2 linked regions of the Tribolium castaneum genome follow. Each later gene encodes a partner of the first gene's protein in a complex. Links are inferred from orthologs where the notes say so. Each region holds a gene or a part of one and is shown on either strand. Other genes may lie near its edges.

Region 1 (4,307 bases):
TACACTGTTCATACCTTGAAGATATTCATATTAAAAAATATGGGACCGAGCCCAAATTATTAATTAAAAGCTTTTATTTGACTTGCTTTGTTGTCTTTCTGTCTGTTTCTTTTTTTGCAAGTCACATTTGAGAGTTCCTGTTGTCTGAATGAATTGAAATTTTGCATACTTACGTAATTTACTAATTAATAAAATTAATTTAAAACCATATGGGCCCGAGACTGTCTAACACTTGAAGCGCCCTTGTTTTTACTCTCCCGTTTTATATTTTTTGGCGCCAGAAAATTGAGCGATTTTGTATTTATCTCGTTCCGTGTCCTTCCTAAAACCTACTTACTATTTAGTTTTAGTAGTATAGGCTAATCAAACTTGTTACAGTTCAGGGAATCAGAGATTTGTTTTGCTTGCCGTTCGAGCAATACAAGAAAGATGGTCGCTTCTTCAGAGGCCTTCATCGCGGTGCTAATAGTTTTACGACTTCGACGGCAATAGCAGCTTTAGAGCTCACAACGCGGCTTATTCAACTGATTCAAGTGAGTTAAAACCGTTTCGGTTCATTTTCTATATTGTTATTTTTTTAGATTACGGCTGAAACTGCCTTTGATATGTTGACCCCAGGGCCGAGCGTAAAAATTAATCCAAAGACAAAAGTGCGCCGTAAACGATACAGCCAACCCAAGGACATCAGAGAAGGGGTGACCAATGCGTACAAGCTAGTTAAAGAAGTAGGACAGTTGTGAATTTTTGTAAAAAAAATTCTACGTGATGGTTATTGTTTCAGGGAATTGAGGAAACTGCCGATAATATACTACAAGTGGCTTCACACGAACATGAACAAAAAGGTTACAGTGGTGCTGTCGGGGGTGTTATACGCCAAATACCCCCAACTATAATTAAACCAATTATCATAGCTTCTGAAGCTACCAACAATGTGCTGGGTGGTATGCGCTGCCAGTTGGTACCAGACGCAAGAAAGGAAGCCAATGAAAAATGGCGTAACGAAGATACCTACGATTCATACGAGTGATAACAAAAGACTGTTGTTTGTGATTTTAAATTAACAATATAGATAATTTCGTTTAAGGTTGAATTGAGTTGTTGTGAATTGAGTTGTTGTTTTTACGTAGTCTTGTTATTAATCAAATATTCAGTGTCCATATTACGCCATTTTGGATGAGTTTACCTGAGCTGATACTGAATGATAAAAACGGGACAATATATTTTCGTAAGTTGAGCAAAATTGCGCTGTTCGTTCTCACGTGATATTCTAATAATCTGTACAACCACAACAAATGATTTCGTTTGTACCGATTATTTATTTGTATGTTGTGTGTGTTTGGATGCAGAAATGGACCGCGAATTACCATTTTGTGATAGGATTATTGTAATTAAACAATTTTTCATGTATGCAATATGAATAAATTTTTATACTTCGCAAAACGCGTTTTATTGGTTATCCCTCAAAAAAGTGACACTATCGTCATAGTAACGCGTTCAATTGTTGTCAAAAATGGAGTCAGATTTGGACTTCTTTCCGGATTATTTGAACGGTTACCAGTTCGACGATGGCGAAGGCGAAGAAGTGGAAGAAGAGGAGATCAAATACCATTACATCGAGATCTTGGACGCTCCGCGAGAGCTATTACCACCGGTCGAATTAACTCTGAAAGACCTCTCGCACATAGCGAACGAGCTGGGTTTGATAAAACTTTGTTGGCCCGAAATCGAACATCCGGAATTTGAGAATCGGGTGAACTTCCCGGAAAGCTACTTAGCCAATTCCAATAAGGAGAAGTTGCTTTTGCTCTACACGGAAAATTTCAGGAGGCAATTCAGCTACAAGTATCCTCACAGGAAGCAATTATTTCTGGCCAGTAACAACGAATGCGGAATGCAGGTAAGCAGAGAGCTGCCGCGCTTCCACCGCAAAGGGATAGATGGGGTGCGGTTGAATTTTTCAGAAAATGGTGTGCAATACGATTCGGCTCACAACGCTTCCCTATCCGGAAATTGAAACCTGGCAGGACTGCGCGAAATTTGTGGGAAATGCGCTGCGGTTCGAGCCGTTCGAGATTCCCACCTTGATTGTAAGTAAAAAACATGTTTATTTACAAAATCACAAAACAAAGAAAAAACAATGATTGTATACTACTCTTAGTTTTTAACTAAAGAGTTAAAAATATTGATATGATATACAGAAAAAAAACTTATTAGTACTTTCGTAATCGCTACATAGCTACATATTCATAACATATTCTTTGTTTAATTCATTTTTTGAATTTTTTTTATAAATTAAATAATTGCTGTCATTCTCTGTACACATTCTACAAAGATCTACGCAAGTGAAACTAAAATTTAATTTTTTCACGAATTTATTTTTTAGTGAGTGAAGTTATTACGTGTTGCAAATGAGTTTTTCAAGCGATCCTAATTCGTTTACTTATACATAAGATTTTTTTAATCTTGAGTTAATTTTGTTACAATTCCCTCTACCATTCCAAGATTCAAAAAAACCACCGAGTGATTGTACCGTCTTTTTAAATCACAATGTATAAATAAGAAAAGAAAGGCTTTTTATGCAAAATGGGGCGAGAACTGAGCTGGTTACATGGTTATATGTAGTTATACTCGTAGGTTATTAGTTATAAGATATAATTCATGTTTAAAAAAAAACTTACATTTTGTAACTGACTCACAACGTCAAATAAGGAAAAAGATTTTAATGGGAACTACCATTGAGTTGGAACTACGCTTTGCTTGTGTTATGATCCAAAATGACTAAGTCATGCTGACTCATGCATCCCCAAACCTTGTTGATATCAAGACTGATAACAAAGTATATATATACAGGCAATTAGAATAAAAATATGAATCTGAATCTCAATCTCTTCATGTTCTAGTGTAGTGTTAGTTTTAATAAACATATTCAAGAAATATTGTCCATTTACTACTCATCTTCAAAGAAGGCACTCAACAAATTGGCGCAGTCAGTAGGATGCGAAGATTGTGACAAAGAAGAAAGAAAATTGGGTCGACATCAAAAATCGAACCCGTTTTCCCCCAATTGCCACAATTGAAATTAATCTTCAAGAAGTCAAAGAAAAGGGTCGAGAAATTTTCATCGAGTATCCCACAGCTTTGAACGTAAGTGGACAATCTTTTTCTAAAGCTATTTTTAAATCTAGTAGTACGTTTATCCTGTTGCATGTTTCTTCGTTCACACGCAAAAAAAATAATAATGACTACTATCGCTACCACTACACCTACAACCTCCACAACAATCATAACAACATCGCAAATTCAAAACCCTATTCCTAATCGAAATCATAACTCTAACAATAATAATGATAATAAGGAAAACTCAAACACCAATGATACGCCAATTCATAACATGTCTGATATCCGGTCAATCATTTCTAACGATTTTGACGGGGACAGAAGCAAACTTTACGATTTTCTCCAAAATTGCGGTCAAGCGTGGGCGTTATGTCGCGGAGACCAAAAAATTTTAATAATCTCGTATATGGAATCTAAACTAAAAGGTGCTGCTAGAGCACAAACCCGATTTCACAAATTTTATTCTTTTAAAGAATTTCGTGATTGCCTACTAAAATTATTTGGAGACAGACGCGATTTTTCACAAATACTAGAAGAATTAAGTTCGATTCGACAACATAGGAATGAAAGCGTTCAATCTTACTTTTCGCGAATAGAAAATTTGCAAACCTTAGCTTTTAATAAAATATCTTTTCAAGACGAAAAAGAATCATGCGGCCGAACAGCAATGATTAACGAAATCGCTCTACAAAGATTCATTTTACATGCTAACGAAGAAATATCAAATGCTTTGAGACGATCTAAACCACAAAACTTAAACGATGCGTTAGCTGAAGCCCTTGACGAGGAAAGATTTTTAAATGCTCGTAAATATAATTCATCAGATTTTTCTGTTAATAATAAATTTTGTTCCTATTGTAAAGTCAAAGGTCATTTGTCAAAAGAATGTCGAAAAAGAAATGTAGATCAAAGTCATTCACCTAATCATAGTGTATCTAAAAATCATAAAACAAAATCAAATTTTAATAGTAACTCCAATTCAAAATTTTGCCGTTACTGCAAAAAGAACGGTCACTTAATCGAAGAATGTAGGAAACGCGAATATAATAATCAGAAAAAACAAAGCCAATCCTCTTCAAATAATAATGTCGTTAATTTAAACTCACAAACGTCCACAGTGAGTGTCGCACTAGTGGACAACCATTAAATTCAAAGTTCGACACAACTCGCAAACAAAATTCCAAAGTTAT
Region 2 (2,706 bases), on another chromosome or scaffold:
AATGCACACGCTGTAGCGGACCATTTCATCGATAAATATGAACATCGCGAGAGCGCTACGACGAGTCGGCTGATCGGTTGTGGCCTCATGGCCACCCCCTAAAATTTCCTCACACTGGTAATTACTTACCGGCCTTTAAAAGTTATACCTACCGTATTTTCGAACAGAAGGAGTAACTATTTATCAGTAACAACACAGAAATATTTCTTTATTCTTTATTAATGTTCACTGAAACCACCTAATAAAAGGAAACTTGCCTTAATTAAATAACAAGAAGATAAATTAAGCTTATTTTTCAATGGCGCCCCCATTAGTGCTTGTTTCTTAATCCAGCTGCAAAAAATAATAAATTAATAACACATTACTTACAGGCCTTATGGAATCAGCTAATGCTTCAAAGTGAAGACTTCACAACAGCAACAGTAGCCCAAGCTACCAAACAGAAAGATACAGTTTTCGCAAAATTGTAAATTAAGCAAGAAGATTAAATAATAAACAAGGTGGAAGTTTGGAGTGTTTTATAATTTAAAATTCAGGAACGGACAAATCATGCAGGAACTCGGACAGCCTTCGAGGTGGAGGAGGAGGAGGTGGAGGTGGATTTTCCTCAAGAACACGATCAGCTAACTTATAGATATCTTTCTCTCCTTCAGGTTCGTGCTATTAAAAATAACGTAGTGCAATATTTGCAAAAATAAAAATTAGGTACCATTAGCTGATTGATGTAATATTCATAAGGCACAGTTTGAGTGTGTGGGTCTATGGCTATTTCCAGCATTTCGTCGAGTTCGTCTTGGGTAAAGGGCTCACCATCTTGCGTCATAAGCGTGGAAATGCGTTCCTTTGTTAAAAAACCTTTACCTTCATTATCTAGCACTTGGAACGCTTCTAAAAGTTGCGCGGGACTTGCAGGCTGATACCTGCGAATGAAAATTTCGTTTTTTGGCGATTAAATTTTGGTGATACTTGTGTTCAGTGATGATTTGCGACATGTGGGGTAAAAAATTAGACAAGTGTACACTTCCGGGAGATTCGGGGTTTTCAACAGCCATCAAAATTTCCTGAATTTCTGCCTCAGTGGGGCAACAACCCAAGGCACGTACGATCGTTGCCACTTCTCGAACATCGACTGTTTTGTTACCTGCGTGGTCGAAAACTTCAAACGCGTCGGCAATTCTGCGCTCCAAGTCATTATTAATAGGCACTAAAAAAACGTGTTGGTTTTTTGGAAAAAGACGAGTTTTTGACAAAAACCATGAATTTCTTCTTCTTCGTCTTCCAACATTTTAACAATTTTGATAATCGTTAAGGTTTAAACAGTTGACGGTCTCCTAGCGACAGTTTTGGTTGCTAGGTGATTTGAAGTGTTGGCAGTTGTACCACTTGCATATTTTTTTGGTAAAAATCACCAATAATAATAATTACTCTTAATTAAAAATAACATTAAAAAGTAAAAATGCCATATTTATGTTGCACAAATTACGAATGACAAAAAACAGTGTAAATAAAATAAATACACAAATATTATTCAAATTCTCTTTACCAGGTGATTATTCAAAAATTGCGATTCTTGTCAGGTTGGTGACAAATTTGAAATCTTAATATAACAAGCCACCATGAAGGCCAATAATTCAGTGTTACTAATAGGTTTTTTTGTCACAGTCTTTAATAGTCACTCTGTAGTAGATTCTACTTTGCAGTTTTTCAAGATTTTCCTTTAGTTTCGTTTAAATTTCTTCCAGATTATTCTTTAGCTTTCTGTACTCTTCTTTAGATTATTTTATAAATCCATCTTCTCTAGATTCTTCTTTCAAATCCAAAATTGTTTTATTAACACTTTTACATTTTTTTGACATTATCCAAATTTAAGATTCTTGTCTGCGTCGTTTAAAATTCTTCCAAATTATTTTTTAGTCTGTATTATTATTTTATTTATGTACTTTTTTTTACATTGTTCATAATATTCTTCTAAATTTTTTTGTAGAGGAGACTCTAGGTATCTGTAGATACGTCTTTAGAATTATTTTCTAGACTCTAATCAAAATTATTTTATACACTTTTTTTCAAATATTTTTATCCAAATTTTCTTCTAGATTCTACTCTGTATCTTTCCAAAATTCTTCTACAGTTTCGTATAGAATTTTTCTCTTGAAATAATCTTATTAGGTTATAATCTTCTTTAGGTTACATCTTTAGATTCGGTTATAAATTCTTCTGTAGTTTCCTTTACAATTTTTCCAAATAATTTTTATTAATTCTGTAGTCTTCTCTGGATTTTTTTTTCATATACTTTTCTAATTCTTTTCTTTTCTTTTTTTCCTAAATAAGCCTAATTCTAGATCTGAAATATAGATTCTTCTTTCGATTATTGTATAAATTCACGAATTTTTCACGTTTTTTAAGACAATTATTAGGTCTGCTTTGTTTGAAAATTCCTTTGTACTTTCGTTTCGAATTTTTCTAAATTATTTTTTGGCATTATTTGTTTGTCTACTCTTTTTTAGATTGTTTTTAAAATAAGTCTCAAATATTTTAAAAAATCGTTTCTAAACCTAAAATTGGAACTTTTTAAATTATTTTATAAATCCATCTCCATATACTTCTTTAGAAATTATTTTCTATACTACTCAAAATTATTTTATAAACTCTTTTAATTTTTTTTATCCAAAACCTCTCCTAGATTGCACTCTGCATCTTTTCAAAATT

The links. The genes of interacting proteins can lie anywhere in the genome.
Region 2: lobo (region 1) and dynein regulatory complex protein 8 share a complex: the UniProt entries of both Homo sapiens proteins name them as parts of the nexin-dynein regulatory complex. The link is inferred for Tribolium castaneum from reciprocal best matches to the Homo sapiens genes DRC7 and DRC8.

The regions. Positions count from the first base shown.
Region 1 is NC_087396.1:17,962,945-17,967,251, forward strand, and holds the start of lobo (dynein regulatory complex subunit 7), read left to right. Parts: upstream 1-1,488; 5' UTR 1,489-1,510; coding exon 1,511-1,897; intron 1,898-1,961; coding exon 1,962-2,087; intron 2,088-2,887; exon of another isoform or gene 2,888-4,307. Other genes in the region: Atg2 (autophagy-related protein 2 homolog B), read left to right, coding at 379-533, 582-725, 782-1,027. UniProt on the Homo sapiens protein: Component of the nexin-dynein regulatory complex (N-DRC) a key regulator of ciliary/flagellar motility which maintains the alignment and integrity of the distal axoneme and regulates microtubule sliding in motile axonemes.
Region 2 is NC_087394.1:7,333,146-7,335,851, reverse strand, and holds dynein regulatory complex protein 8, read right to left. Parts: upstream 1,421-2,706; 5' UTR 1,286-1,420; coding exon 1,255-1,285; intron 1,205-1,254; coding exon 967-1,204; intron 921-966; coding exon 710-920; intron 661-709; coding exon 526-660; 3' UTR 504-525; downstream 1-503. Other genes in the region: delta(3,5)-Delta(2,4)-dienoyl-CoA isomerase, mitochondrial, read left to right, coding at 372-470. UniProt on the Homo sapiens protein: Component of the nexin-dynein regulatory complex (N-DRC), a key regulator of ciliary/flagellar motility which maintains the alignment and integrity of the distal axoneme and regulates microtubule sliding in motile axonemes.